4 linked regions of the Notamacropus eugenii genome follow. The protein of the gene in region 1 purifies or fractionates together with the protein of each later gene. This does not show direct contact. Links are inferred from orthologs where the notes say so. Each region holds a gene or a part of one and is shown in the gene's direction. Other genes may lie near its edges.

Evidence for each region.
Region 2: the proteins of DNAJB6 (region 1) and MLF2 purify together in Homo sapiens (affinity purification with mass spectrometry; 3 studies listed by BioGRID and IntAct, with this or other methods). This does not show direct contact. The link is inferred for Notamacropus eugenii from reciprocal best matches to the Homo sapiens genes DNAJB6 and MLF2.
Region 3: the proteins of DNAJB6 (region 1) and STIP1 purify together in Homo sapiens (affinity purification with mass spectrometry; 3 studies listed by BioGRID and IntAct, with this or other methods). This does not show direct contact. The link is inferred for Notamacropus eugenii from reciprocal best matches to the Homo sapiens genes DNAJB6 and STIP1.
Region 4: the proteins of DNAJB6 (region 1) and BAG3 purify together in Homo sapiens (co-immunoprecipitation; 3 studies listed by BioGRID and IntAct, with this or other methods). This does not show direct contact. The link is inferred for Notamacropus eugenii from reciprocal best matches to the Homo sapiens genes DNAJB6 and BAG3.

The regions. Positions count from the first base shown.
Region 1 is NC_092874.1:87,373,228-87,381,077, reverse strand, and holds the start of DNAJB6 (dnaJ homolog subfamily B member 6), read left to right. Parts: upstream 1-4,783; 5' UTR 4,784-4,913; intron 4,914-7,850. UniProt on the Homo sapiens protein: Has a stimulatory effect on the ATPase activity of HSP70 in a dose-dependent and time-dependent manner and hence acts as a co-chaperone of HSP70. Plays an indispensable role in the organization of KRT8/KRT18 filaments.
Region 2 is NC_092874.1:195,042,149-195,049,986, reverse strand, and holds the start of MLF2 (myeloid leukemia factor 2), read left to right. Parts: upstream 1-4,789; 5' UTR 4,790-5,100; intron 5,101-5,793; 5' UTR 5,794-5,821; coding exon 5,822-5,871; intron 5,872-6,106; coding exon 6,107-6,236; intron 6,237-6,468; coding exon 6,469-6,504; intron 6,505-7,248; coding exon 7,249-7,302; intron 7,303-7,669; coding exon 7,670-7,798; intron 7,799-7,838.
Region 3 is NC_092873.1:17,036,489-17,044,574, forward strand, and holds the start of STIP1 (stress-induced-phosphoprotein 1), read left to right. Parts: upstream 1-4,818; 5' UTR 4,819-4,936; coding exon 4,937-4,945; intron 4,946-7,920; coding exon 7,921-8,086. UniProt on the Homo sapiens protein: Acts as a co-chaperone for HSP90AA1. Mediates the association of the molecular chaperones HSPA8/HSC70 and HSP90.
Region 4 is NC_092872.1:199,785,113-199,793,281, forward strand, and holds the start of BAG3 (BAG family molecular chaperone regulator 3), read left to right. Parts: upstream 1-4,942; 5' UTR 4,943-5,337; coding exon 5,338-5,529; intron 5,530-8,169. UniProt on the Homo sapiens protein: Co-chaperone and adapter protein that connects different classes of molecular chaperones including heat shock proteins 70 (HSP70s), e.g. HSPA1A/HSP70 or HSPA8/HSC70, and small heat shock proteins (sHSPs), e.g. HSPB8.

The DNA.
Region 1 (7,850 bases):
GACAAAGGTAAAATAATTCCAATTGGTAGCCATTTTAATGAGGAGCTTAGAGAAGGAAGTGATCCTCAAGTGATGGTACTAGTGGCATACTAGGCTTTGATTGAATCTATGTGAATTTGAGATTAGTGGGTTGTCTGTGAGGTTACAAGGGTAGAGTTTCAATTCACAATGGAACTGAATCCTAAATGGAGGTAATTAGAAAACAAAAGCTTAACCTTTAGGCAAGTTTCTGGAAATGTAGGTGAAGGGTGAAGTTACATAGGTAAGGAGTTTGGATTTACACTGATTGGAATAGTATTAAAATCTATGCCAGCTTGACTATCTCTAAAAAATTGAATTAAAATCAGTTTTTAATTTTACACTGAGAAGTGCCTGTCCCAATATGAGAACTATGAGCAAGTTCTACAAAGGGACCATCTTCCCAACTTCTTTTCCCCTCTACATGTGCGTTTCTTATTAGGTAGGTGTTGGTAATTTATTTCTTTTTATTCTTAGTTGTTTCTTTATAGTGATAATTATTCTTTCTTCATATGCATTTATGGCATGCCTAGAAATGTGTTCTTCCTGACATGTTGGTCATATTCAGTGAGTACAAATGGCTAAGCCTTTGATTATTTGAAATTACATTCCAGCTTCACTGTTAAGGGCAACCTTGGGGCATGATGAGCTCTTATTTTGTTTTATTAATAGTTTATAAATTTCCATATGCAGAATTCAAAGTGAATCTGGGGTTCAGCCTCTAGACTATTAATCCTATTCAGATTTGGCTGTCTAAAAAAGTCTCCAATCCTGAGAATAGGGTTGGTCTCCAGCCCCTTACGGCAGTGGTTTTTAACTGGAGGTACAGAGACCACAAGCATAGATTTTAGGGGAGTCTGTGAACTTGGATAGGAAAAAAAAATACATCTATATTTTCATTATCCCCAACTGAAATTTAGCATTCCCTTTGATTGTGAATTTAGACCAAAAAACATTCTGAGGAGTAAAGAGGAGATTCATGGGCTTCACCTTAGTGCCAGAGGCCCTAGACACAAAAAAGGTTGAGTTCCTTTTTGCTTCAGGCAAAAAGTTTCTGCCTTTTACCTGAGGAAGATGCAAAGAAGGGAAAGTCCTGTTTTTTTCTAGCTGTCACAGTGGGAGGAGATACCTAGGATCTGAGAGGTTTCTCTTATGTAACTTTCCCCTAAGAAAGGAAGGAGGAGGAGGAGAAAGGTGTACTAATCTGCCAATTTTACTCCTCACTATGGTACCTGGAAGTAACATTTACAAAATAAACATGAGCAATGGTGGGGGAGGGAACTCTGGAAAGGCCTTGGGCTGAACCTTGAAGGAAAGTAGAAATTCTGAAGAACTGGTGTTGAGTAGTGCATTCCAGGCCTGAAGGGCAGTTTGTGCAAAGGCTTGGAGTTGGAAAGGGAAAGGCCTGTGTAGACAACAATAAATAGGCCAGTTTAGCTGGAATGAAAAGTATGGGCAACCAGCCCAGACAGGTAGACTGGAGCTAGATTTGGAAGGGCTTTAGTAGACCTGAGGAATAACATTGTCAGATTTGTGCTGAATTGACTCAAGGTATTGACAGCAATTCTTTTCTTGGAACAGTAATTGAAGCTATGGCACTTCTGTGTCCTCCAGCAAGGGAAGCCACTCTTTCTAAGTTAGTGGTTCATTTTTATTTTTTTAAACTGTATTTTAATGTCCTTTGGTATTGAACATAAGATCTGAGGGAAATCAAACAGGCCATCATTGCTGTCATCATCATACTGTCTTTCCAGGAATTCCTATGGAATTTTACTGTATGGAGTTCTACAGTTCAATCTAAAAACTTGATATTACTAATTAAGTTGTCTTTCAATTGTAGTTGCAAGTTAGATGTCATAAACCCAGTTCTATATGGCCTTAGTAAATTAGGGCCACTCACTGTGTTTGAGCGCTCTTTGTTTAGACCCTATATTTTTCATCAACTCATATGGCAACTCATCTATACTAGTAGAGGAAAGGAAAAGGTCCAAAGGAAAAGATGTGTTTAAAAATTATGAAAGGATATTTGTATAGTCCCCAGAAGCCTTGGGAGAACTGGAGATGGAATTGGGATGCTGTGGTCCTCTGAATCATATCTGAATTGGGGTGGTGTAGCTGTTCTGAAGATGTCTTCCTAGACTTCCACACATTTCTGATGTGTTATATAGATGTTCCTCCTATAGGGGAGTTTTGAGGTTGGTTATTGGTTGGTAGCAAGAGGTTACTTGTTATCTTCATATACAAAGCTATGCCTTGGGATCTTTGAGCACAGAAAATGACTGAGGGGGATGAGAGTATGCAACTGGAATGTTTCCCTGATAAACTCAAGGTTTGCTAATAAAGGGCATGTGGAGGGTCTTTTCTGTGCTATAAGGTCATCTAAGCCCAGATGGAAACCTATCTATGAAGTTATTATTGAGAAAAGTGGGGGAGACTTTGTATGGTTTTAGCAAAAGAGGATAATGCACATTTTTTTATAAGACGCATGCCAAGTGATGTGGGTATGAACCTTCCAAGGAATTTTTCCTTAAATTATCTGGCAAATACCAGAAAAATGGCCTTGGGTTCTTCTTCCAAGTAGCAAGGCCATGGCCTTGGGATTCTGCATGTGAAATGCTAACCCAGATTCCGTAGGGGAGAGGGAATAAATTTCTACTACACAAAGGTCTTAACAAGGTCTTATTTATTAATACCACTGAACTGTGTATAAAGATATGTATACATGTGTACAGATACTTGTACAGAGCATGAGCAGAGATTCTCCATTGGGTTAAACATATACATTTGACGCAGGGATGAAGTGTTCAGTGCTTGTAGATAGTAAGGCAGTCCCCTTATTGGTTGCTGAGAGGTAAGAGTAAATAGCTTAATATCTGGTACAAGATCTCGATTTGGGGGGTTCTGAGTGAGAGTGAGCTAAGTGAACACAGCATCAGAAGTAGGTTTGACATGAATATGGTTCATCTTCAGGAGCAGGGAGCTACCAAGTTGCCCAAGGAGGAGTGAACAAGTCCAAGTTCAAAATGGAGGTCAAAGCTTCTGCGTCTATGAGCAGTGGAATCAGCCCAGGAAGAGTCTCTGTACTTTTAGCATGGACAACATAGAGACAATCAGTCTTTTTTAAAAGAAGAGAAACAATCTAAGGCATTCCTCAGAAAATAAATGGGCAAAGCATACGAACAGGCAGTTTTTAAAGGAAGACATCCAAGCTATCGACAATTACATGAAAAAATGCTCTAAATCACTAATAGAGAATACAAATGAAAGCTACTCTGAGATTCCACTCATACTTTCCACAATGGCAAGGATGACAAAATCAGAAAATGACAAATATCAGAAGACCTCTGGGAAAATACACTCACTGATGGTGAACCTGCCAATTGGCCCAGCCATTCTAGAAATAATTCTGTTGTTCAGAAAGTTACCAAACTCTCTATATCCTTTGCCCTAGCTACATCACTACCCTCTAAGAAATCAGAGAAAAAAGGATCAGTGTGTGCAAAAATATTTATAGTAATTCGCTTCATTTTAGTTCAAAATTGTGAGACAAGGAGGTGTCTTCCTACTGGGTATGGCTGAAGGGACTGGGGTACATATGAATGTGCCAGCTTAGATGGTGAAAGGCCTAACTCCAGAGGTAACGGGGAGGACCTTCGTCAGCTGAAGCGTGACAAATCCCAAGTCCCAGAAGATGAACAGGTCGGCCCATCCCGATAAAAAGGGGATCAATTTAAAATGCTGAAACAGGCCCCGGCTCCGGAGGCTCTGCTCTCCAGTTTAAAAAAAATACTCGGTGGGATGGAGTGGGAAAAAAAGGTTAAGGGGAAAAGAACTTGCTCCTGAACAATAAGAATGGCCAGCTCGGTAACAAGACCGCAAGGTCATCCTGTGCGTGAGGCTGTCGTAGGGCCCAGTGTGATTTTCTGTTGGAGACTAGGGCGGGCTGGGCAGACCCGAAAAGAAGGATATTAAGGAGAGCTAGGCCTTCGCGGGCGCTTCCACGTGCCAAGCACCGTGCTGCCCTACGTCATCATCTCATTTCATCCTCACGACCGCCCTGGGAGGGTTTTACAGATGAGGAAACTGAGGCAAGCACCACGGAAGCAGCTTGCCCCAGTCCCGGAGGACCCAGGGGGGGCCACGCGGCGAGGAAGGAGTCCGGGGGTCCCCTACCATGGCCGGCCTTGCTCAGATGTCGGGGGGCCCGGATCCGCCGGATCTGAAGCGGGGAGGCGCATGGGGAGGGAGACAGGCGGGTTGAGGAAGAGTCCTCTCCTGGTCCCTGGATCGTAAGCTCCACGAGGGCAGTGATACCTTTCCCCGAAGGCCGGACCCCTCTAGGTGCCTCATCAGCCCCAACGGTCGCTGGGGGGAGGGGCGGCGGCCTCAGCCCTTTGACGTCCCAGAGGGCGCCGGAGCGTACGTGGATTTCAAGGGGGGGAGGGGAGGGCCGCCACTAGGCGGGTGGGCCCAAGGCGGGGGCGGCGGAGTTTCCCCCACCGTCGTTCACTCGGCGGCCGACAGATGGCGCCAACGGCCGCAGGCGGCCTGAGCGTCTGCCGAGCGAGCGGAGAATTTTCGGGAAGGTGGCGTAGGGGCGGGGCGTAGGAGGCGCAGGGCTCGGGCAGACGCGGCAGCCGCCCCCACCGCCGCGGTCGCCGCCTCCAGCTCACTGAGTTTAATGGTGGAAGGGAAGTGGAGCGTCGCCGCGTAGCTCCGACGTCTGACGCACTTCCTGTTTGTTGTTGGAGAAACGGAGAGAAAGGAAAGCGCGAGGAGTCGCCGCCGCCACCACCAGCACCACCAGCACCACCAGCAGCGCCGGAGCCGAGAGGAGACCGCGGGCTTCGCCGCCCAGCCCCTCCTCCCCGCCGCCAGCTGTCAACCCTCTTCGGGTAAGGAAGACCCCTGTCAGGGCCCGGGGCTCAGGGAGGAGAGGTCCTGGGCTGAGCCGCGGCGGGGCTGGCCGGACTTGTCCCCGGCGCCTTAGCAACGGCGGTGTTGCTGACCCGCCCAGCGCGCCGGCTCCCGGGGCCTTGCGGCCTGCCTGCCTGCGCGGGGCGGGGACTCGGAGTGTCTGCTCCCAGCCCCGACCGCCGGCTCGGGTGTCCTTGCCCGCCGCCGCCGGGCATCCGGCTCTGCGGCCCGGGCCGTTGGGGGAGGGGGTGGAGGACGCGTCCGGGCGCTCGGGGCCTCGCCGAGGATTCTCAGCTCGGCCCCCACCCGCCCTCGGACTGGATGGGGAAGAGGCTGAAAGCCCCCGGATGGTCGGGGGTCCTTGGGGGGGCTCTCGTTGGTCTGCGGGGGAAGGCGGAGGGATTTCTTCAGTGTCCCTAGCTAGTGCAGTACCTCTCTTCCTGTCATCGCGTGACCAAAATTAGGCCCCTTCTCCCCCAAAATGCAGTTGGTTAGATGAGAATGTGAGCGCCTGACCGAGATGGGCACGACGTTTGGGTGCCCTCGGGCATTTTTCTCGTTCACTCAGCATTTATGGACGGCCTACTGTGTACTAGGCCCGGTGCCAGGGGTGCGCTTACCAAGAAAGGCAAACACCGCGTCCCTGCCCTGGAGATAGAGAGAGGGCGCCGGAGGTGGAGGAGCCTGTTGTGGGCGGTGAGGGGGTCCGACGCTGCGGAGACGGAATCTGAGCGTTCGCTGCGGAAGGTCGGGCTGGAGTCTGCGAGGGTGGCGGGGAGGCGAGCGGAGAGGCCCCGCAGACTTTGGGGGCGCAGGTGGGACCGCTGCCCCTCTTTCAAACCTTTTTTTTGGGTAAACTTTTTATTAGAATAAAGGCAGGAGTTGGAGGAAATAAGGTAAGAGAGGCAGGGGAGATAATAGCCGCTAGTAGAATTTGTTTGGTACTTCACAGTTTACTAGCCCTTTATTAGTATTAGCTCATTTTATCCTTGACACAACCTTGGGAGATAGGTGCTGTTTGATGAGGAAACTCAGGCAGATAGGCCTGACTTCAGATCCATCGAATTATAAAACTGAAAAGTAAACATCTCCTTCTCAGTGGTATAAAAGTAACTTGTAGTTCGGTTTTACCTTAGAAAAACAACCGATTTGGCAGTGCAGTTCAGGTTGTATAATTCCTGGTAAAGTAGTGGTAATCAGTTTTTAAGAAAGTATAAAAGAAGAGAAATCTTAAACCACTATCAAATTTGTTCACTCCGACTGTACTTATGAAAGTACGGTTTCTAGTTGTTTACCTTTTATAGAATCAGCAAGTCAAATAAATGAATCTCCAAAAGGTATTAACATTGGATAGAAACAGCAAACAAAATTTGGGAAATAAGTAAAATGTAATATATTTCCCTTAATTCTGATGTGGCTTTAGACACTTGCTCAGATTTGAAGTTAGGAGAGAAAATTCAGCTTGACTGCCTGCTCACTGTAAAGTGTAGGTACTAAAGGGAGAATTTTGCTTACATAAGAGCAAAAAAGGAGTGTGAGGGTGACAAGAATGAACAAAAAAGTGACTTTGTAAGTAATTAAGTGTTTAATCGAGATTTTGAATTGGCCTACCCTCACCTCCTCTCAGTGGTTATCATCATAGTTTTACACCTGAAAGAAGTGGGCTTGCAAGCTGTTTTTTTGCTCTGGAGGTCAGAATGATCCAAGGAGAAAGATGGATGCCATTCCAGTAGTAGCTACTGAGATGATTAAAACCTGGAAAAGTAACACGTTAGTATGTCAAAGATGTTTGATTGAGTTTAGGAAATTCGTTCAAGGAGGAAATTCTGCCAGTGCTTATCAGCACTATTTGATAGTAGAAGTTGCTACCTCTGTAATTTAGGTTCTCAAAGAGTTGCTTGGGACGTGAGGGTAAATAATTTGTCTGGAGTCACATAAGTATGCCAGTTAGGGTTTACATCCAGATCTTCCTACTTACAAAACCAATTTTCTGTTCACTTTTTGATACTGACTCCCATAATATGTCTCCCTCCCCCCCCAAATGATTTAGGAAAAGTGGGCTCTAGGGAGTGTTACATATATGTACCTTTTTAAGCAACAGGAAATAGTGTAATATAGAACGCATTAGACTGATGGTTGGGATGTATCAAGTCCTATTCAACCACTTGTGACCTTGATAAATAACTTATATGCTTCTGTTTCTTTATCTGTAAAGAATTGAGGTCTTAGCTCTAAACTAGGTCTTGGCTCTAAAACTTTTTACTGAATATATTTTATGAAACATCAAACATCTCATTCTTTTTAAATGCCTCAAAAATCTCAGTTTCATGGGTTTAGATATACTTTACACATACACTAATTCAATCTTTTCATTGCTTTAATGGACAGTTTAACGTAGGGATTCTTAATCTCTTGTGTCGTGGATCTTTCTGGCTATCTGGTGAAACTGTGGAGGACCTCTTACTAGAATGTTTTTAAATGCATATATTATATCAAAATAACAGTTGCCAAAATGCAAAACAGAAAACAAAAATCATCAAGCAAATCCCCCCCAATAGTTTGACACTTTCCCAAACCAAGTTAAGAATTTCTGATTTAAAGAATTGATGTACCTGCAAAAAAGTAACCTGTGAATTCTCTGTGCCTTTCTAAACTTCTTTTGAGTGGCAGTCCTTCACCTATTCAGGCCCAGAAAGAAACCTTTCCAGGAGGTACAAATTTTGCTCTCTGGTGTAGCCCTGGGTTGTTGTTGTGTCTGTCTTTCCTTACTGAAGACCATGACATCAGAGAAATGATGACATGACTTGCACTTGACTTTATTTTGAGTGAGGGAGGGCTATGCAGGTCACCAGCCTCACTTTTCCAGAGCCATCTGAATCCAGTGACCTGATATTCCTCTGGATGAACTGGAGATG
Region 2 (7,838 bases), about 110 Mb from region 1:
GTTACAAACAGGAGCAAGGGTCTGAGTTTAAAGTCCTTCACCACTTGACAGCTTCACCCTAGACTGCTCTCGGATGAAATTCTTTGAGCTACTTAAAGTCCTCAGAGGTGTGAATAGCCCTTGTGGTTAACCTATTGACCATGTGGTCAGTTCTTCAGGGTTTGGTTTTTTATTTTTGTTTTTCAATATTTACTTCAAGAAGATTTTGAATTCTAAATTTTCTTCCCCTCCCCAGACACCCTGCAATCTGATATAGGCTCTATATATACATTCATATTAAATGTATTTTCACATTAGTCATGCTGTAAAGAAAAATTACAACCAATGGGAGGAACCACAAGAAAGAAGAAACAAAAAGAGAGAGAACAAATAGTATGCTTCGATTTGCATTCAGGCTCCATAGTTCCTTTTCTGATTGTGGACAGCATTTTCCATCATGAATCTTTTGGAGTTGTCTTAGATCCTTGCATTGCTAAGAAGAGGTTAAGTCTATCAAAGTTAGTGATTTCACAATGTTGCTATTACTATGTACAATGTTCTCCTGGTTCTGCTCACTTCACTGTGTATCAGTTCATGTAAGTCACCCAGTTTTTCTGAAGTCTACTTGCTCATCATTTCTTTTTTTAAATTATTTTATTTGTTTTCAGTGTTCTGCAATCACTTCCATATAACTTAGATTTTCCCCCCTCCTTCCTCCCCTTTTCCCCTACCTTCCCCCTCCCTCCCTGAAACAGCATACAATTTTATACATACATTCCTATTTATTTATTCCTATATATTTACACATACATTCCTATTAAATGCATTTTCACCTTAGTCATGTTGCATAGAAGAATTAAAATGAATGGGAGAAATCATAAAACAAACCCGAACATACAAAAGAAAATGATCTGCTACATTCTACAATTGAATTCCATAGTTCTTTCTCTGGATGTGGAAGAGATTTTGTCTTAAGAGACTATTAAGAATTTTTTAAGTCCTTGCATTGCAATGAAGTTCTAAGTCTACCAGAAAAAATCCTCATACACTGTAGCTGTTGTTGTGTACAAAGTTCTCCTGGTTCTGCTCCTTTCACTCAGCATCAGTTCATTTAAGTCTTTCCAGGCCTCTCTGAAGTCTTCCTGTTCATCATTTTGTACAGCACAATAGTATTCCATTACATTCATATACCACAATTTATTCAGCCATTCCCCAGTTGATGGGCATCCCCTTGATTTCTAGGTTTTGGCCACCACAAAGAGTGCTGCTATAAATATTTTTGAACATGTGGGACCCTTTCCCATTTTTATGATCTCTTGGGGATACAGTCCTAAAAGCAATATTGCTGGGTCAAAGGGTATGCACATTTTTGTAGTCCTTTGAGCATAGTTCCAAATTGCTCTCCAGAATGGTTGGATCAGCTTACAGCTCCACCAACAATGGATTAGTGTTCCAACTCTCCCACATCTTTTCCAACATTTATCATCATCCTGTTTTGTCATGTTAGCCAGTCTGATAGGTGTGATATGGTATCTCAGAGTTGTTTTAATTTGCATCTCTCTAATCAATAGTGATTTAGAGCATTTTTTCATATGATTATAGATAGCTTTAATTTCTTCCTCTGAAAACTGCCTGTTCATATCCTTTAACCATTTATCAATTGGGGAATGACTTGTATTCTTGTACATTTAACTCAGTTCTCTACATATTTTAGAAATGCGGCCTTTATCACAGACACTAGTTTAAAAAATTCTTTCCCAGTTTTCTTCTTCCCTCCTAATCTTGGTTGCTTTGGGTTTGTTTGTGCAAAAACTTTTCAATTTAATGTAATCAAAATTATCCATTTTTACTTCATAATGTTTTCTACCTCTTGTTTAATCAAAAATTCTTCCCTTCTCCATATATCTGATAAACACCCTATTCCTTGCTCCACTAATCTGTAGTATCATTCTTTATACTTAGATCATGTACCCATTTGGACTTTATTCTTGTGTACACTGTCAGGTATTGGTCTATGCCTAGTTTCCACCACACTGTTATCCTGTTTTCCCAGCAATTTTTGTCAAACAGTGAGTTCTTATCCCAGAAGCTGGGGTCCTAGGGTTTATCAAACAGTAGACTGCTATATTCATTGACTACTGTGTCTTGAGTATCTAACCTATTCCACTGGTCTACCCTTCTTTTTCTTAGTCAGTACCAAGTGGTTTTGATAATTGCTGCTTCATAATACAATTTGAGATCTGGTAGCACTAGGCCACCTTCCCAAGCATTTCTTTTCATTAGTCCCTTTGCTATTCTGGGCCTTTTGCTCTTCCAGATGAATTTTGATATTATTTTTTTCTAGTTCTACAAAATAATTATCTGATAGTTTGATTGGTATGGCACTAAATAAGTAAATTAATTTAGGTAGAATTGTCATTTTTATTATTTGCTCATCATTTCTTATGGAACAATAGAATTCCACCACATTTGTATACTATAACTTCTTCAGCCATTCCTCAATTGATTCCACACAATTTCAAATTCTTGGCTACCACAAAAAGAGCTGTTATAAATATTTTTGTACATGTGGGTTCTTTTCCCATGTTAATGATCTCTTTGGGATATAGACCTAGAAGTTGTATTGCTGGGTCAAAGGGCATGCAGTTTTATAGCCCTTTGGGCATAGTTCCAAATTGCTCTCCAGAATGGTTGATCAGTTCACAACTCCACAAATAACTCATTAGTATTCTAATTTTCCCACATCTTCCCCAACATTTATCATTTTCTTGTTCTGTCATGTTAGTCAATCTAATAGCTCTTCAGTTCTTAACCTAGAGGTTCACACTTCATAAAGAGATCAAAATTATGAACCATCTCATTTACACATTTAACCACATCGTTGCCTTTAGGTTGATTGTGTCACATTAATTGACCACATACTGCCCAACTAGACTCTAAGTTCCTGGAGGTCTTATCTAAACTTTTTATCTTCACCCCTTCCCTGACTACCAAAATTGTTTCACATTTGTTGAAGGAAGGGAGGAAATTTAAGGTTAAGAGAGCAGGAAAGAGAAAATTTGGAGGTCAGGAGTACCACAGAGCTGGTGGACTGCTGCATCTGCAGGGTGAGCACAGATTTTTGCAGTTTTTTCCCTTTTATTATCAATAAAGTTTCATTTCCTTTTATTCTTACTGCCTATGAGGCTTTCTGTTTCTGCTATTATTTCCCGCCTTCTCAGTTTTTCCCACCTATTAAAATGGAAATCTCCAAAAGAAGTTTTCACTAGCATTTTCCCCGATTCAGTAATATACTCCTTTCTCCGGCATTCTACGCCCCCCCCCCAAAAAGAGGGGGTATAATGCCAACTGTCCTTTTCCTCAGGGTTTGATTGTTCCAACCAGATGAAGGATCAGGTAAAAAGAGTCAGGGAGGTGAGAGTTTGTATATGTTTTGTGTAAAGTTCAATCTAAATTGGGCAAACCCCCGGAGGGGAACAGGCAGGCTGACCCAAGAACCAGAATATCCAAGGTCGACCTGAGGACACCTGCGTGCTCAGCTCAGCTCTGGCCCAGGTTGGGGGGGGGCGCGGTTGGAGGGTCCGGAAGTCGTTTCTGCTCTGAAATCCAGCTTCCCCTCCTCCAAAATAATCTGGGAATGAGCCCTTTGGCTACTGCACTGTCCGCCACGACCCCTTCTGTCCTGGCTCCTCTTAGGGGCAAACGCCTGCGAGCTGGGACACGGGCCGGGAAGGAGAAGAGCGCCCATCTGGAGGGTTCTGATCCCCAGGCTTCTCCCTTTACAGAGGGGGTCACTGGGGTACCCCCCACCCCCGCAGACGTCCAGTGAGAGGACAGAGCCCTCCAGTGGCCAGTCCCTGGGCTGAGGCGGGCTCAGGGTTCAGTGCCTCGAGCTGAGCTCCCCACTCATTGCAGCAAAACGAGTCTCCGTCCTTACACTGCCCGGCTCGCCTCTGCCTGGGCCTGCGCGGACCTGGCCCCGGCCCCGGCCCCGGCTGCCCCGGCCCCGGCCCCTTCTCCCCCGGCTCCCCCGGACCCTGCTCCCCCTCCTCTCTCAGACACCTGCCCATCCCTCTTCCTCCGATTCCCCTATAGGAAACCTCCCCCACACTCACAACAAACCCGCTCCTGCCTCCTCCTCCTCCTCCTCCTCCTCCTCCTCCTCCTCCTCCTCCTCCTCCTCCTCCTCCCCCTCCTCCTCCTCCTCCTCCCCCTCCTCCTCCTCCTCCCCCTCCCCCTCCCCCTCCCCCTCCTCCTCCCCCTCCTCCTCCCCCTCCCCCTCCTCCTCCTCCTCCCCCTCCTCCTCCTCCTCCTCCTCCTCCTCCTCCTCTCCATAGGAAACCCGTCCATCCTCTTTTAGAAATCTCCCCTCCCTCTCCATCCTACCCCGCCCCGCTATAAGAAACCTCCCTCCACATGGGGCATCTCCCCCTCTCCTCATAGGAAGCCTGCCCTCCCTACTTCGGCCCTATAGAAAACGTGCCCCTCCCTTCTCGTCTAGATAGTCCCCCCATACCTGCCCCTCTTTTACCAGAAATCTGTCCTCCCTTTTAGAAAACTTGCCCCCTCCCCTTGGTCTTCCTCTTCCTCCCCCCATAGGAAATCTACCATCCTCGGCATCATCCCCCCGCCCCCACCTCCCTCCTTCTTCCAGGGATCACCCCAAGAGACCCCAGTCATTTCCTAAGTGTGCGGGAGAAGAGGCACCGCCAAAGGGAAGCAAATACAGGCCAACCCCTGCGGGGCACCTCCCCTGGCCGGGTCGGCTGTCAGGGAAAGCCCAGAGGGGCGGGGGCGGGGAGAGAGGACTGGGGCGGTGACGTCACTTCCGCCTGGGCCTGGCAGTGGCTGAGCCTGGCTGTGCTCGGCGGCAGCAGTAGCAACCGCGGCGGCAGCGGGAGGAGGACGAGGAGGAGGAGGAGGAGGCGGAGGAGGAGAGAAGGAGGGAAGGAGGGAAGGAAGGAAGGATCGTCGGGCCTCCCCAGCCGCCTCAGCGCGCCCCGGGCCCAGCGGAGCACCCAGCCAGGGCCGCGGCTCCGCGGGCCTGCGCCACGCACAGGATCGGGCCCGGCCGGATGGGCGCCTGAGCCTCGGGCCCCCAGCGCCCTGGATCGGGGCCCGGTGAGGGTCGCGGCGGGGGCGGACGCGGGGCAGCCGGGCCCCCCTGGGCGTGCGAGGCCGGACCTGAGCGCCGGGAGGGGAGAGGGCCGGGCGGGGGAGGGGCAGGGCTGGCCTGGGCTCCGAGTGGGGAAGGGGCCGGGAGCCGGGACGGACCCATCGGCCGCCGGGGTGCCAGGTTAAGGCTGTGGGGGCCTGGAGTGGGGAGGAGGCAGGGCAGGGTGTGGAGAGGAAACCAAGTGGCCGGGGCAGTTAATGGAGCGAGGGCCCTGATGTCGGGGGAGGGACGGACAAAAGGAGGGGGCTGCCAGCCCGGACAGCAGGAAAGAGTGGCTGGCCTGGAGGGGCCGGACAAAAGGAGCAGATATGGTGGTATTTATTTTAAAATATTACTGTCCAGCACTGAGAGGAAGGGAAGTTGGGGAGCCGCTTGCACTCCCATATTGGATTATGTGGGCATCTGGAGGAAAGAGGCTTCCCTTCAGTCTGCATTATGGTGGGCATCTTGAGAGGGCTTTCCAGTGTTTGCATTATGCTGGGCATCTCAGGAGAGAGCCCTTCCTCCTATGTGCGGGGTGGGGAGCAACCGTACTGTGAGAGCCATTGCACTGGAGGCCCCCTCCTGAAGGTAAGGTGAATCTGCTTCCCTGCTGGCCTCTTACCCCTGTTTCCCATCTCCTTTCCTCACCCCTCTAGTTCAGAGCTCCCGGAAGCTGAGAGCAGGATGTTCCGGTTCATGAGGGACGGAGAGCCTGAGGATCCTATGTTCCTCATGTGAGTCTCCCCCCCTCACCCACAGACCAGGACATTTCCAAGCCCCAGCCCGGGAGAAGCTGGGAGACTCTCTTTTGGGGAGTCAGAACATTGGGTTTTAGTGTTTGCTCTGGACTGCAAGGCAAACACCTTCTCTCTTTGCCTTCCTTTCTTTGTGTTTTAATTTGAGAAGGAAGGAACCCAGTCATGGGGCTTGTGGCCTTCCTGACATGATGCCTTTTGTACTTTTACGCAGGGACCCTTTCGCTATTCACCGACAGCACATGAGTCGGATGTTGTCAGGAGGCTTCGGTTACAGCCCTTTCCTTAGCATCACAGATGGGAGCATCCCAGGGGCTCGACCTGCTGCTAGTCGAAGGATGCAGGTAACAGGGCAACATGTTTAAGACTCTGCCAGGCCTTGGGATTGGGAAGGAACTTGAGGAAAAATCCCTGCCCTTGCCTCATGGGGGCAGGGGCGCCAAATTCCTCATGCTTAAACAGAGAATGGGAATAAACTTGGGGAGGTGGGCCTAACCTAGATTTATAGGAAAGGAGAGGAGGTCGCAGTGGGGGAGGTATATTTTCTAATTCTACTCCTTGTCCATGCATCTGTAGGCTGGAGCTGTCTCACCCTTTGGGATGCTGGGAATGGTAAGTCCTCATTCCCCCATATCTTCCTATCCTTTGTTCTTTATTCCCTTTCAGTACTGTTTTCAGATCTATCCCTTTAAGGAGTCTTTAGGAGTGATTGTAGTGGTGTCTCCTTGTCTTCTCCCCCCTTTCATATTATTGAGTGTTCACAAAGCTTTAAGCCTACAGTGTTACATATTTGTTAACTGTGCCCCCATGTCCAGAATCTCTAGAAAGGGAACTCTTTTTCTTTCCCTTTTTTTATGAGTTCCTATTTTGTTGTTATGTGTGTGTGTTGGGGAGCAGTTAGTATTGGTTCTTGATAGGTTAAAAATCCACTGACTCTAGGTTGAGTTGTTAGAGGAAAGGGAAGGTAGGGAAGCCAGGAAATGGAGAAGAATGAAGCCAGAGGAGGAGGAGAAGAGGTCAGTGTTGTTTTAGCCAGTTTGGATAGGGAGATTCAGGGTGTGGATAAAAGGATTTAGAGTTGGAAGGGACCCAGATTTTCTCAGTCACAAAAACCCCAAAGTCAAACAGGTATTCGTTGTAAGGCTAAGATTTGAACTCGCGTCCTCTGACTCCAAATCTAGTGCTTTTTCCATAAACCACACTGCCTCCCAAGAGGTCTTAGAGCAGATGACCAGGTGTGAGGGGGAGAGGAAAGAGATAGCATTATAAAGGTCCCAAGCCAGTCTTGAGATTGGAGAAGAAACCTGGAGTATATTGATTTGTCCTGAGCCTTTTCTTCTAACTCTCTTTCCCTAGACAGGTGGTTTCATGGACATGTTTGGGATGATGAATGATATGATCGGGAATGTGGTAAGCCTTTTGCCCCTAGTCTTTTTAACCTTTTGACCTTAAATGACAGCCTCATCCCGAGGATTCCTCTTTTTCTATAAAAGAACTCACTAAAAAGTTAGACCCTTGAATTCTGGGTTGGAAGTTGGCATTTACATGAAGACATGAGATCAGGTGCCTGCTCAAAAAGCTTGCTCAAGGTAGACATTTCACATTAGGCATCCAGTTTAGAGCAGAATTCCTTCAATTGCATCAAGGTCACTTGTGAATTCTCACAGTACTACAATAGAGACAAAGTTAAAAACAAGCTGAGATGCTGAGACTCTCTGGTGAGGGTGGGATCCCCTCCCTCACCAACTACTTCAGCTCCAGCCTCCCTCTTCTTCAGGAGCACATGACAACTGGAGCCAACTGTCAGACCTTTTCATCCTCCACTGTCATCTCCTACTCCAACCTGGGTGATGGTGCTCCCAAAGTCTACCAAGAAACATCTGAGATGCGCTCAGCACCAGGTGGGGTAAGTGCTGTGGGGAGGTTGTAGAGCAACTCTGAATTCA
Region 3 (8,086 bases), on another chromosome or scaffold:
GATGATGTCTTATGTTACAATTGTACTGTCTCATAATGTGAGAGTGGCATAGGGCACCCTGACCTCACAGTGCCTGGGACTGGAGTGAACTCTAGGTATGGGGACATGAGTGACAAAGCAGAGGGACTGATGATCCAGGCAGATATTTTAAGGTTTGTCAGATGGCCGCTGACAGAAAGTAGTTTGGTTCATCAGAAATATCTGCACACCACACACACACTCTCACACATATACATACCCCTCTCTCTGTCTCTCTGTGTCTCGGTCTCTCTGTCTCTCGGTCTCTTTGTCTTTCTGTCTTTCTGTCTCTCTGTCTGTCTTTCTGTCTTTCTCTGTCTCTGTCTCTGTCTGTCTGTCTGTCTCTTTCTCTCTCTCTCTCTCTCTCTCTCTCCCCCCCCCTCCTTCCCTCTCTCTTCCTCCCCCCCATCCAGTCAGGACTACATCTCCCAGCATCCTGAGTCCCAGCCCTCCCCTCCGCCCTCCTCCCCCCTCCCCTCACGTCCTATCTCCAGTTTCCCAGGACGCCTGGGAATTCTCAAATTAGCCATTCACTCCCAGGCCCCACGTACTTGAACCGCCCCGTCACCTGTTGCTGGAATCCAAACTCAGCACTAGAAATAGCCCCCTGCCTGGCTGGCCCCCCAACCTGCCTCAGCTCTTTGCAGAAGTGACCAGCTCGGCCGCCCAGGGCATAGCCGGGTATGCCAGGGCCTGGAATCTGGTTGCCAGCCAGCCGTCTTCTGGCATGCTTCCTTCTAGCCCACAAAGAGTAAAAAGTGACTTATGTAACATGTTAGAGTTTGCAAAGCACAGGACCAAAGTTCACCCACTGAAGGAGATCTCAGAAATCAACCATCCTCAACCCAGCTTTTAACGGGGAAGGAAACTAAGACCCAGGGAGAGGACTGACCCAAGGTCACACAGGCCGACAAGTATCTTGTGACAGGCACTGGGCCAAGCCCTGGAGGAAAACAGCTTCGGACAAACAGGCTTAACGGGATGGGTAGGAGATAATTGGGAGCAGGGGAGAATATAGAATTGAGGGGGAGCAGGAGTCTTCTTGTAGAAGGTGGTGCTAGCTGGGGCTAGGATGGAGACCCAGGGGTCCCGACTCCCAAATCCTGCATTCTCTCCACTGGCCTCTGTGATTCTGTTGGTCCAGGAGCGTTTGAAGGCTACAGAGGACTTCACATAGGTGTTCAGGGTAGTTTAGCAGGAAAGGTAAGCTGGTGCTGTATTTATAGTCTCAAGATCTGAGTTCAAGTTCTGCCTTTTCCATTTACTGGGGGTGGGGCATGAGGCAAGTTCTTACCGTCTCTAAGCCTCAGTTTCCTCCTCTGTCTAATTAGTGGGATAGACTTAGACAACCTCTGAGAGCCTTCCAGCTTGAAATCATCTATTTCTCCTCACTTAAATCCAATTCACAGGCAAGTCAAGAAAGATGACATCATGATAATCAAGTTTAATAAAAGGGAAAGGATGTATTAAGGACCTACTATGTGCCAAGCACTGTTACTAAGTCCATTCCATTCAATAAACATTGATGGATCACCTACTGTGTGCCAGGCACAGTGCTAAGCCCTGGGAACACAAAAAGAAGATAAAGACCGTTCCTGCCTTCAATCTAATATATCCAAGGTGAACTACAGCCTGGACAATACAAAAGAATGAGGGAAGGCCCTGGAGCAAGCAGGGCTTGGAGCAGGCTTCCTGTGGAAGCTGGAGTTTTAGTCCTGCCTTAAGGAGTAGTGGGAGTGCACGAGGGGGGCATGTTCCAGGTCTGGGGGCAGCCAGAGAGGATGCTGGGACAGAGGGGTCAGCAGGGGCCAGGACAGGGAGGAGGGGCCCGGCTATGAAGGCTTTGAATGTTAGGCTGAGTGTGGACAGACATGATCTCAAATCACCAGTCTTTTGTCCCTCTCCTAGGCTGGCAGCACCAGGTAGAAAGGAGCCAGAGAGGGGGAGAGGAGCCCCCAGGCTGGGTCTGTGCCCATGAGGACCAGGGCAGGTGGCAGGAATCCTGGGAAATAGATGGCAGAGAACTGAAATGTAAGTAGAAATCTTTTCCCTCCGGGCCCGGTGGCAGCTCAGCTCCTGGAGGAAAAGAAAATTCAGGATGACTTTCTTTACCTTCCAGTCTGAGAGATGTGTCGAAAACTTCCTGGAAAGTATACAGCAGATGGCTCCGTCAGTCTGTCAAGCAACAGGCATTTATTAAACTCCTACTGTATGCAGAACACAGACACAGACTGCTGTATGAAGAATGGATTGGAGAGAGAGGAGAGACTGGAGGCAAGGAGGCCAGTTAGGAACCTACAGATGATGAGAGGAGTGAGTTGTAGCTGGGTCTGACTCTTCAGAGTAAGGGGGATCACAGAATGTCAGAGCAGGAAGTCATCTTGTCCAAGCTAGCTTTCCTACCTGATTAAATGGTACTTCCTTTCCCATGCAGTGTGGTCCGGCCAAACTAGCTTTCATACTGTTCTCTCACACAAGACTCTCCCACCTCAAGTGTTTGCCCTGGCTGTACCCCGTGCTTGGAATGTCATCCCTCCTCATCTCCACCTCTTAAAATCCCTTGCTTTCTTCAAAATTGTTCAAGGAACACCTTCCACATGAGACCCTTTCGGCTCCCTCCCCAACTGTTAGTGTCCTCCCCATCGCTGCCCCACCCCTTCTGATTAACCTTGTATGTACCTTTATTTTGGGTTGATTTATTTATGTACAAATGATCTCCCCCAGCAGAATGCAGACACAAGTGGTAGATACAGTATTCATATGAGTGCCAAGTCAGTGATGCCCACAACTGGGCTGTGAGGTCACCGTGTGGGGTCACAGTCCTTGTTTCCTGATGGGCATCATAGGACTGCCTTTGGGGGACCTGAGAGGGGCTTCCAGGAAAATTAGCACTAAAACTGTATTATATAGACTATATCAATGTATTCCATTTCCCTTACAGTATGTATTCCTGGGGTGTTTTATGATAGCTAGCATTTATAGAGTGCCTATTATGTGTTAGGCTTTACCATTATTCTGTATTTAATAAGAAGTGGTCAGTCTTTGGTTTAAGACAGACATCAAAATGACCCTTCTATTAATTATCCAATAGCCCTCATTAATAAAATGATTGTTAATTACCCAGAAAAAAATAATAAACAGTTGTTACTTTACTCATTGAAATTTCAGCCATGAAGGTATCTCCTGGTGTGGAATTGTCCTCCGCTCATGCAGGTTGGCTACTCTGTGTATAAATGTGTATTTACAATTCTATTCTATTAGCAATGTTATACATAATATGTAATCTTAGATGCACATAGTTCTTCTCTCTGTGTGGGGCCTGGGCCCTGGGCCCTGGCTGGTCAATATTTTGATCACTTTATTCCAACAGAGTTGGTCTCCTTTGCAATCCTATGTATTTGCTCTGATGCATTTGAAAACCTGATTCTGAGAAAGGCCCCCCACGTTGTCCCAGGGGTTCAGGACACGCAAGAGCCTGGGTCAGAATCAGCTATGAGGACCTATCCTCTCTCTGATATGTTGTGATCTCTCTTACATAAGGAATGGCATTCAGGTCATGACTGCCAGGTTATCTGGTGGCTGTGGCATTCCCACTCGGGTCCCGGGGCAGAGTGTGAGGCCCTGGAAAGAGAGTCTAACCCTCAGGCAGATCCAGCCACTTCTCCTGGCCTGTTTCCTCATCTGTAAAATGAGGGGGATGGGTTTGCTCCCATCCTCACCAAGACACAGGTGCCAGTGCCCCCTCTGTCCCCAGCTCACACTGAGGCAGGGCTTATGGATCCCATTCCCACTCAGCGATCCTGGGGCAGGTGCTGCCATAGACCCCGTTTCACAGATGGGAAACTGAGGCTCAGATTGACTGGTTTGCCCCAAAGTGACAGAGTTGCTCCTAATAGGAAAGAAATAAGCATTTATTAAGCGCCTACTGTGTGCCAAGGACCAGTGCTTAACTGTGCCCTTTACAACTGTCATGCATGCGAGTAGGCGCTTTTATGATCCCTGTTTTCTAGCTGGGGGCAACTGAGGCAGTGGGAGGTGAATGGCCTTGCTAAGTGCTTTCCCCGGCACCCCACCTCCGGTGCAGAGCTCTAAGCGCCCCCCACACCCCGCCCCCACACGGCAGCCCATTTCACAGAGGCCGACCCTGCCCCCTGGGACCCCTGGCACCCCTGGCACCCCTGGCACCCCTGGCCCTGCCCGGACTCCTTCCGTGAGCCTGCGCAGTTTGAGAGGGCAGAGTGTATCGGGGAGACGCTCGGGGTTATACCCGAGGGCGCCCCCCCGGGTTGCGAGAAACGAGCACCTCCAGCCTGGCCGGAGCCTAGGCACTCCCCACGAGTTAAGGGAGCGGGGGAAGGGCCAAGGCCGTGGCAACAGTCTGCTCGAATGGCAGCAGGAGCGACCTATCAGAGCCAGGCGCTTGGAGACCCTGCGCCCAATAGAATCGCTCCTTATCGCTGGCTCTGACGTCACTGTGCCCGTCAGTCCAATGGGAAAGGTGGAAATTTCCAGAAGGAACTGGACCAATGGGTGCGACCAGCGCCAGCCAGACCGGCGCTCTCGCCAACCAATGAGTATAGCAGACGAACGCCTCTCTGCCAGTCGTCAAGCAGGCTCTGGGGCGGGCCGTGCCAAGGAACGCCCAATGGCGAGGAAGAAAAGACTAAGGGTGGAGCGAATCGCCGTCCGCCGTCCAATGAAAGGAAGGTGCCCATGAATGGCGGAGAAGTCAGCCTCTCGGAGCGCTAGGGGGCGGGGCTCGGAAGGAAAACTCCACCAATGGGGCGGCTACGAAGGGGCGGGAGCCGGGAGTCCCGGCAGCTTCTAGTAGGTTCCAGAAGGCGGCGCGTGCGGCTGGGAGCTGGGCGCGAGCGGGCTGGCGGACGGATTCGCGGCTGCCTCGGCTCCGGCCCGGGCCATGGAGCAGGTGAGCGGCGGCCGGCGGGCGAGCAAGGGAGGAGGGCGAGCCGGGGAGAGGTGGGGGGGCGGTGAGGCCCGGGGCCGCCGCTGAGGTAACTGAGCCGGGGCTGGGGAAGCGACCGGGGCCCAGGGAGGGGCGGGCGGGCCCGGCCGGGCCAGGGTCAGAGGGCGGTTATTGGGGTGCCCAGGGCAGATTGAATCTGAGGGGAGGCGACGGGACCCAGGACTGGCGGGGGAAAGTACTGGAAGGGGGGAAAGAATGGGGGGGCGAGAGGGGGAGGAGCAAGGCCTGGGATGGGGGGGCTGTGGAGGTGGGGGGAGGGGAAGGGTCTGGAGGAAAGGCGAGCCTGTTTCAGGGGGAAAGGAGAAGGGCTCTTGGGCCCATCCGGGGTAGAGAGACCTCCAAGGTTTGGGGGTTAGCCCGAGGAGCCGAGCTAAGAGACAGGAAGTAAGGGGGGGGGGGGCAGAGGCAGGACTCCCAGCGGGGGGTCCAGGTCCGAGGAGGGCAGGCCCTCGTGGGGCTCCAGGGATGGGGGGAGGGAGTCAGCCCGGCCTTCCGTGAAATCCATGGGGGGTAAATGCAGGAGAAACTGGGAACTGATTGAAGTAAAGGGGGGGCAAAGTGAAGTCAATGGGGGCGCCCCGAGGCAGGCTCTCTGTGCCTCTGGGGCGTCCTAGTGAAGGTGCCTGGGCCTCAGGTGGGGGCTCTTTGGGCTCAAAGGCTTTGAGGAAAGGGGCCCTGGAGCAGACTAGGGGACACCCCCCCCTTTTAGCTGGACACAGCAGAGCTGATGCTCGGGTTGGGACCCTTCTCCAAACGCAGGCTGCCTCCCCAAGTTTTTGGGTTCCTCGGAGGTGCAGTGATGGGATGTAAGAGGCCGGGTCAGTACCAGAGGCCCTGGGTGGCAGACCAGGCTTGTGGGAGTGAAGGGAGAGGTGTCTCTGTTGTGGTAGGACGACAGGACTTGGCTTTCTGGCTCACTCTCGGGGGCCTGGAGGACAGGAAGGAAACTTGGAGGGTCCCATCTGGGGTAGAGTGGTCTGTGGGCAAGCTAGCCTTGAGTGCTTAGGTCTCTAACATTTAGATACCATCTAGGGTTCCTCCCTTACACTCGTTTCACAGATAAGCAAGCTGAGGTTGAGAAAGGGATTGGTTCGGTACCCCACATGGGTGGGGACTAGAATCCAGGCCTTCCTGCTGTCTACCCTCTGTCTCTACATCCCAGGTCTGAGAATAACCTCATCCTCGCTGCCGGATGGGTTTGTGTGTTGTCTCATTCACTTTATGGTTAGGAAAGTCCATGAGTTGTAAGAAACGTTTGAACACCACAAGCTGGAACGTTGGGGAGGGGGGCGGACTCAAATCTTGAGAGGCCAGTCTTTTAAGTTAAATTTGTAGCACAAGTCAGGTCAGACTTTTCCACTTGAGCTCCCCTTTGTAATCGCATTGGGGAATCACCCACACTCAGTGTGCTCTTTTTATTTCTTGACTGGCCCAAGCTTACCTGCTGAGTGGGATTTCTCGCTCCTTCCTCCATCAGACTTCAGAATCCCCAAGTTAGAAAGGCCTTTTCAGTCCCACCTGTGCCTGAACTGCAACTCTCTCCATACCTGCCACAAAAACCAGGAGTTACATTGGGAAGGCAGCCATTGCAATGTTCTTGTTGTAGTGTTCTTACTAAGGATGGTTGCATTTGAGCTTTATATTGGCTTTTCATTTTAAAGGATGTACAAATGGGGGAGAGAGGGCACTTTTCAGATTAGGGATAGCTGTTTCCCTGTTTGAGGTTCTGCCCCTCACACCCATGTGTGAGAAGCTGCCAGCCTTTCCTCAAAGGCCCTTGTCTGCTGGTTTGAGAGACATCCTGAAGTGGTACCACAGACCCTCTCTCATGCATGGTCCTCCTACATTTACTTCAACTGGAGGTTAAAAAAAATGAGTCATAGATTTGGCTGAATTAAACTGAGCAGGGGGCAGGCTTTATTTCAATCTCCCAAAGTGATCTTAGGGTGCCAACCCTCCCCTTTTTCCCCCTATTCCTTCGCCATTTGAGAGAAAAGTGTTTGCCTGTCCTATGGATGGATGACTCATGACCACTTCAACGAGGGGAGGGTTCTTCTTAGCCTCAGGAACATGGTCTAACCATGCCAAAGAAATGGCATCTCTTCACTCTGGAAGTAGGAAGTCTTTCCCAGTTTTCCAGAAATCCGACTGAGACACCATAACAGAACAACATGTTCACATGCTCTCTTTGCTAACCAGTTCCAGCCCCAAGGGAATCAAGAGAGTCTCTGTTGGACTTTTGGGAAACGTGACAAATCCAAACTGCCCTTTTTTCCCAGGTTAATCCCTAGGTCAGTCCCACAGTTTTCCTTTTGAGCTTATCTCTGTGCCTGCACATTTTAGATCTCTTGATTCAGTGAGGAGTGGGAAAATTTGAAAAGAAATTAAGCTATTCCAGCCTGCGAGGGAGCCTCTATTTACTGTTGTTACCCAATGAATTTCAAGGTCCAATTCCATCTTTCTGTGTTTTGGCATAGAAAGAAGCAGTTAATTTTAGATTGTGGTCAAGTGGAGTCATAGAAAGTGTTTTGGACCTGGAATTCAGAGAGACCTGGATTTGAATCCAGCCTCTGATTTAGCTCTGTGGCTAGATGAGCCATTTAATCCTCGAGTTTCCATTTCCCCATCGGAAAAATGGGATTCATGCCTGTGGTACTTGACAGGGTCATCCTGAGGTTTCAGAGAGGTGTGTATATGTTCAATCCTGCAAACACTGAGAACTGTTTGTCTGAGCTCATCAGGGAAGGGGGACCTCCATCAGAGCAGCAGATTTCTACCTGGAAGGCCAGCCTTCTCCATGGAAAAGCTCCAGCCATGCAGTGGCCTTGTATTCCCACGAAGAGCACGTGAGGGAGTGAAAAGCTGGAGTTGAGGGACTTGGCCCTGGTGACTCGCCTTTTACCTCCTCCCTTTCTCAGGTGAATGAGCTGAAAGAGAAGGGCAACAAGGCCCTGAGTGCCGGCAACATCGATGACGCGCTGAGATGCTACTCAGAGGCCATCAAGCTGGACCCCCAGAACCATGTGCTGTACAGCAACCGCTCTGCTGCCTATGCCAAGAAGGGGGAGTACCAGAAGGCTTATG
Region 4 (8,169 bases), on another chromosome or scaffold:
CCTGCTTCTTATCCCCTCCCATTAGCAGAGATAATAGAGAACTGACTGTCCTGCCAAATCCTGTGTCCCATTACTAACAGATTAAATCCTTTAGAGTATGAGTTTTTTGGTGATATTTAAGTACAGTGCAGTCAAGTTGTTGGACTTTAACAACAGTTGGGTTATTTCTAATAAAATTGCTTTTATACTTTTTCATAGCAGTCTTTTCTGTGAAACTATGGTTTCTTAAGTTTAGTAAAAAAAATTAGTTCCCCTTGAAAAATGCCATTTCCATCCCTGTCTCCCACTATGAGGGTATGGGGTTAGGTGATTTTAGCAAACTCTAAATCTACAATTAGATAAACTCACATAGGAAAATCTGTTTTTTACACACACATACCCATCACTCCTTTACCATAATCACTATGAACTTGTAATTACTGTGTTTATGATGGTGGAATAAGTACCATCGTAATTAACCCTTATATCTTGTCTAGATGAAAAAAACAGGTCTCTTCTTGTCTTCCTTATGAGGCTACAGTCTTGTAAAATAGCTCTTGATTCTATATTCTCTTAAGAGATCTGTAATTGTCTAGTCAAGCCTTTCAGTACCAGGTGGGCCATGCCATGAGTATATGTCTCTTGCCCAAAGTGAGGTTAGCTAAGCTCAGAGAGCTCAGTGGTTACCAGGTGATGATTTTTTAAGCCATTGAAACTCACAAAGACTTATCTACAAGGGAATAGAGGAGTTGTGATTGGTGGTGATGGAGGCAGGACTCACACCCACAAAACCACCTTGCTTTGAAGTACTGCAGAGTAAGTATGTCTATCATTCAGACCCAAGAACAGGGATAAAGATTGATGGAGAAGTCTGTGCCTGAGCCAAGACCTCAACTGTCCAGAGCTCTGAGGAGTGCTGCCATTAGGAATTGAGTGGGTCCTTTCATTCTTTTTCTTAGTGGGCAACTATTGCCCTTGTTTAGGCTTTAAGTCATAGTTGCCTGGGACAAAGGTTGCTTTATCTTAGCAGCCCTATAAAGGTTATCCATAATAACACCACCAGAGGCCACACTTAATCATCATGGCTTAGGGCTACTTAATTGAAGAAGGCTTGGGAGCCTCGGTGCCCTTGGCTTCAAACACCAATTTGAATCCACAGTCCTCTGTGCTGTATAACTGGGATGGCTTGAAATCTCCAGAGCTCAGCTCTAACAAAGAGTGTCTGCAAGGGCCTATAAAAAACAATGCCTATAAGGGTTAAATCATAACAATTTTACAGACTTCAACCAACATATTTATTTATTAGTTACAAAAACTACTAAAAAGTTGAGAGGCACAAGATATACTAGATAGTGTTGGGAGCAGAGAAGATCTGAATTATAGACCTGCCTCTAACACATACTAGATGTGGGGATCATGGGCAAGTCCCTTCTTACCTCAGTGCCCCAGGAAACTCCCTAAGACTGTGTGTTGCCGACAAGTGGTAGATATGCATTTTTGGAGGAGTTTTCATACTGAGAGTTCCTTATGCTGATGAAATCACAGGTCCAGACACCCAACACAAAATAAAACTAGTTACAATATGAACTGTATTTGGCAAAGAAAGACATATAAGAATTTAAAATGCATTTTGAATTTGACTTGCAAAGAGGCAAAATGAACCCAGCCTATAAAAAGGCCCTTCTCAAGTCCCTTCTCCTCTTAAGTCTTCCTAGACCATTCAGTCTCATAATGACATCACTTTCCTTTGACCTCAACAGTGATTCAGCAATTAACAAGTCATATCCTTTATGACATTTCTTGTGTTTTGGTATAGTGCTGTTATTTAAGACCTGTTTTGGTGTCTAGAGGGGCAATGAGACAAAAGGATAGAGGGCTAGCCTTGGGGTCAAGAAGACCTGGGTTCAAGTTCAGCTTCTGACATTACCTGTATTAACCGCTGTATAATCATGGGCAAGTAACAACCTCTCAAGTCCCAAGATAACTCTCTAAGATGATAAGAAGCTGATCTATATCAAATGGAAACTAGATACCTTGATGAAATCAAAGGTAGGGGAAAAAAATTATGTAACTTTTTATTTTTATGCCTTATCTCTGCAACTAGATCATAGGCCTTTTGTGCATGATCATGGACCTTAATTTATATACTTCCTCCTAACAAGAAAAAACAGAGAATTTTAGAGCTAGAAGGCACCTCAGAAGTCATATTTTAGTGCCTTCATTTTACAGATAAGAAAATATGAGACCCACAAAAGTGAAGTCACTTGCTCAGAGTTACAGCTGGTGGGTAGTAGAGTTGGAGTTATCCCAGCTAATGGTAGATTATACAACTGGAACTAACAGAGATAGAACTGGGGCTATATAATCCGGGTTTCCTGACTCCTAAAATGATGTTCTTTCCCACTATTCTATCTTCCTTGAAATTATAAATCCCTTGAGAGAAAAGACAATGTCCTATACTTATTTGTATGCCTTCGCCCCCAGCCCAAGTGCCTACAGGGGTGGGGAACCTTCAGCCTCAAAGCCACCACATATGATCTTCTAGGTCCTCAAGTGCAGCCCTTTGATTAAATCCAAACTTCACAGAACAAATCCTTTTAATAAAAGAATTTGTTCTGTAAAACTTAGACTCAGTCAAAAGGCTGCATCCAAGGACCTAGAAGGTCACATGTGGCCTCTAGGCTGCAGGTTCCCTATCCTAGCTGACAACTTCCTGCGCATAATAATTTCAATAAAAATTTACTTGATTGATTATTTTTAACATGAAATGTTTCTTGACTATTCTTGGGACACAGTTGACTTGACTGTATGCTTACGTGAGGTAAATATGTTCCTATCACATTGTGCTGTTAGCTGTGCAAAGAGAATTGAAAATCATCTTCAACTGAATGCATTTATCAAAAATCCAGTTGGTACTATGTGAGGCATTGTCATAAGAATTATGGATCTTATACCTACATAGCCTCTTATGACCTCACAATTTAAGGTGAAATAGATGTAGGAGGACATCTTTCTCTGCCACTTAATACCTGTGTGACCTTAAGTAAATCAGTTTACCCTTTCTTGGTCTCAGTTTCCTCATCTGGTAAAATGAGGGCATTAGACTAAGGTTCTTCTGAGCTCTGAATTGATGATCTAGTGACAAGAAAATAGAGATGTTATATCAATCAGATGTTTATATCATATATAGATCAAGTATAATCATATTTTAGGGATGAATAGCTAGGGTCAGAATAAAATTAGGCTGGATAGAATTAGATGTCCTGTATTCATACTAAATAGAATAAGAGAGAAGCAGTGCCTGTTCTGTTAGAATTTATAATCCATGATAGCCTGTGGACAGATGTCAAGCACATAAATTAAATATGTAAGTTAAACATTTACATTGTATTGACAGTTTTATGAACTAAATACATAATTTCCTTGAGAGCCAGCTGCTGTGGTGCTCCTGTATTGTAAAAGTGTTAGGCAACATTGTGTGACTGGAAGACTTGCCACAGACCATTTTCAATATGTCCAGAAGAACTGGGGATATGGGATCAGAGTGACCACTGATAGTCACCCTCCACTGGTAGTCAGTACAACATTGTTTCCTGCATTGTAAAACCATGTAGGGCATTCTTCTTTGAATTTATATGATTCTGATATCTCAGCCTCTAATCTGTAGGGTGGAGAATTAGACTCAATATTATTACACAAACCATTTAGATGATTCAAGGGGAAGAATGAACTGACAGAATTTGAAATTCTAGGTAACAACCATTTCAACCCTTTTCCCAGTCTGGACATAAAATTTTCGTAGAATTACTGAAGTGCAAAGGCTTCCCATCTGGGAGTTAATGAAAAGATTAGTTGACCTTGTTTCCTTCTTCACAGATGCACATCAAGATTGATATTTCTGCTTTTGTACTTTAATTCAACATATATTTTGTTTAATGGCAATCAACTCTTAAAAAATAAAGATAATTTTTCCTCTTTAAAATGGTTCATTGAAAAATGAAGTTCAGTGCTTTGTATTTAATATTGAACAGTCTTGGTCCAGAGAAGAAATGAGGAAATTCTCCCTCAGATCCTTGGAGAAGTAAGGGCCTATAGTATGGAACATTCTGTTATTGTCCTGGGTGATTTGGTGTGTTGATTAATTTTGCTTAATTGTTCTTTGGCACAAAGATTGGGGTGAATGGGGAATGGTGGTTGAAGGACATGTCCTGAAAAACCTGTAATGTAAAAACAGAACAGGAAGGGGTAACTGACTTGGGTGAGAAAAGTAGGGGAAAAGCTTTGAATTGATGGAAGTTATTTTTTCTTCTTGGGAATGCACAGGCTTCAGACCTACAAAACGCCTTCTCTTTGGGGGAAATAATGTTAGATCCGATTTTCCACGACTCTTTGGGATATAGAACTCAAGCAGAACTACTCCATGTAGCATATTTAACATTTCTTACCCCCAGAAAACTCAAAAATACTAAGGATGAGATTCAAAAACACAAGGTAGGAACCAGGACATCTGCATGTGTTTTCTCTTAATCTTAACCTGCTATGAAATAGCCATAAAGAATGGAAAGGGAAAAATGAAACCTTATTAGCTAGCTAGCACACGAATTAGTTACTGGGAACGCTTCAGTTCTACAAACATCCAGTCCAAATGCCATCATTTTGGGCAATCCCTTGCCATTTTCTCTTTTTAAAAAGAGTCAATAGGCCCACATTCCCAATCAGATTTCTTTTTCGACCGGCAGTCGGAAGGGGTGGGTTGCTACTGAAAAGGCCAAATTTTCTTCAGTTATCCAGCTCTTCTCCCTTTCAACTTACAAACGGGAGCCAACTGCAGTCGAGTAAAGTAAAGGCAGGCTAAAGCAGCCCCGAACCGGAGGCCTAGGTGGAAAGACTAAGGGCCACAATAATAGCCGATGACTCAGGGCGGAGCTCTGCATCCTGGAAAAGGGGCACAGCCAAGTCTGCTGGATGGAACCAGAAGTTTCTACTGAGCCAGTTGCTTCCTCCTCGCTCTCTTCGTTATCTCCTCCGTGCCTCTGCCCCGGGAGGACTATTTCCAGATACTTCCAGCTCTTTCCTCTCACGTCACTCCACCATTAATTCATAAAGGTGCTCGGAGGCGGACTTAAGGACACCCTTGTAGCCAGCCTCCTTCGCCTCCTCTTTAACTTCACCCTCCCCCCGCCTCCGCCCTGTCTAGCCCAACCCAGTTCAACTCGCTCTCCCCGCCCCAGCCGAGCCCCAGCCCCGGCCCCAGCTAGTAGCAGCCTCGCCAGCAAGCAGCAGCGGCAGCCACAGCTCTAGACACAGCAGCAGCAGAAGTCACCGCTACGGTAGCAGAAGTCGCTCCTTCGGCAGAGCATGAGCGCGGCCACTCACTCCCCAATGGTTCAGATGGCGACCAGCAACAGCGGCAATGGCGGGGAGCGAGACCCCTTGCCACCAGGCTGGGAAATTAAAATCGACCCACAGACGGGTTGGCCATTCTTCGTGGATCACAACAACCGGACCACTACATGGAACGACCCGCGCGTCACGCCCGAGGGGCACAAAGTGAGTGGTCCTTCCTCCCCCACGACCTCTGGCTTTGCTTACTCTTCACCGCGGGGTAGCCACCATTGGAGGGTTGGGGGCTTCGGAGGAGAAAGCTGAAAGGACTGGGGAGGGACGTCTTTGGGGATAGGACAAGGAGTAAGGAGTACATAGACCTCCCTTCTCTTCCGCTTTTGGTTTGTTTCGGGGAGAGTGTAGCACGGGGCAGGGAAAGTTGGGAGCAGAAGGAAGAGCCGTAGGGCGGGGATCGAGATAGGCCGGGTGGTGGTGGTGGTCCGGGAATGTGTCTGCGTGTGCGCGCGCGCGCCCTGCTGATGTACAGGTTACTCTGTCCAGCGGCGTGGCAGTGCGGAGAGGAAGGAGACGTGGGGGAAGGACCGTAGAGAGTTCTGGACAAGACATGGGCGGCTAGGCAAGTGGTAGAGAGATCGGGCCTGGAGACCGAGACAGATTAGCCAGGTCACTGCAGGGGGGGCGGGGAGAGGCAGGGAGATCGGGCACGGGGACTGGCCAGGGAAGGGCAGGAGGTGGAAAGGGCATTCATTGGCAAGCCCCTTGTCTCCCCACCCTACCCCACCCCCCAAGTAGAAAGCAGGAGCTGCCTTTTGTCTCTGACGCACTGCAGCTCTTCTTAGTGCGCTAAATCATTTGATACTTTAGCCCTGTAATGTTTATTTAAAGTTGGTTAAGTCCACCCGAGCAGCAGAGACACAAGGGAAACTGATTTATTCTTCAGCTGTGTCCACAGGTTTAACAGCGGACTACGTACAGCGCAAAAGGCACACAGACACAACAATTGAGTAGGGTTGGCTGTCTTCTTTTGCTCCTTTTGCAAGTTGCCTGGGAAGTTTTGTCTCCTGCCTAGTTTGAATGTATGTTCACAGGAGAGAGGCATTTCTATTCTAAATAAGTCCATAGATAGAGATGCTTGTGAGAGAGGCAGTCAGATGTAGAGGAAAACCTAGAGGTTCCAGATTTAGAGGACCTAGATTTGAATTCTAGGCTTTACCCCTTATGTGGGTGACCTTGGGCAAAGCACTCAAGTTCTGTGTGCCTCAGTTTCCCCATCTAAGAAAGTTGGACTGGATGATTGATAAGAATTCTTCCTGTTCAGATCTCCTGATCCCTGTTATATGATTTCTGAGTTACATTTGGTCCAGAAAAATGTTACATTGAGTTGCCATTTTTGCTATCAGTTGACAAGATAAAAGGACACGGTAACTTTCATTTTAAGGAACAATCTAGTCTCTTGATATTTTGTGGTGCTTGTATTGTTTAGTTTTAAAATTTCCATTCTTAATGAAAATATCTTTAGTAAAACTGTCTCTAGCTTGGGGTGGAACACCAAGAAGCAGTGATTCAAAAAATTCTATCTTTGTGTCAGGGCCATGCCTCGGCAGGTCTCTGGAGCTTTCTGAGCATAGTGGAAAAGCTAGAAGAGAAAGTCAGAGGTTGCTAAGGCCTATGTTGAAAGAAGTTTGGGTGGACTCTATGGAGCCACAACATTTGGCTCAGGGCCTCCAAAGCCTGGCTTCTTTAGCTGCCAAGGAAGGTTCCTGACTCTTCTTCTGAAATGAGTGGAAACTTCCCAGCTGTCCCCTAAAAATGGTGGGCAGGGAAGGCAAGCAGTGTTTTTCTGTTGCCCACTCATGCAGCAGCAAAAAGCAGAGTCCAGCTAGCTGTGAAGGTGACTCTCCTTGTCTCAGCATTAGGCCAGCAGCACATTTGCGGCTTTTCAGGCCTAGCTCTTGCCAGAGTACTTTTGCTCCTAAGCTAGGCTCCTGGATTTACAGGAGAGATATCATTTTAGTATTGTTAGTAATGGGCTTTTTTGTACCTTTACTTTTATATTACAATTAAAGCTAAATACCCTAAGAAAAAAATAAAACCAACTCTTATTTCCAACATTTAAAGAATGTAATTGAAGAAGGAATAGTCAACACTTCATAATAAATACTAAAGTCATAGCCAGAAGGTCAATAAAGCAATAATTTGAATTAATAGAAGGCACTCAAGTATGAAAAAAAAGAATTTAGGGAAGTATAACTAGTATTTTAAGAAAAATTTTATTGCTTTTTCCCACATGAGTCTACCTACCAAGCCTTGGGTCTCAGTTTCTCGAACTACAGATGGCCTCAGATTATCCCCTCTAGTATCAAGATTCCGATGCTATGATCCCATAATCTTAGAACATTGAGGAAGCTCCCTTATCCACAGACACTAAATTCACAAATAATTAATTGTGTACTCATTTCTAAAAATTAGCACAGCTGACTAATTTTCTATAATTAACATCCGACATAATTGTATACATGAATTTTTGAATGTGCAACCACTTGGGTGGGGTAGAAATCATCTTACGGAGATTTTGTATTGTAGCTGGGTTGGCATTTTAAATCAGCTTAGAAGATATCAGGTAGTTATAGAACATTTATTTTGCCATGCCATTTCTGTATAGACAAGCAGCTTATGGGAAACCTGTAGAGATCAGGAAAACTCAAGGCAGTTATTAATAAACTATCAAGTTTGAACATTTACTGCATGTGTTGAATGGCGTAGATAGTCTGGCATTTTGTTGTAAACATGAAACTGGTCTAACAAGTCCAGAAGGCTATGTGCAAGAAATGTCTGCCCAATACA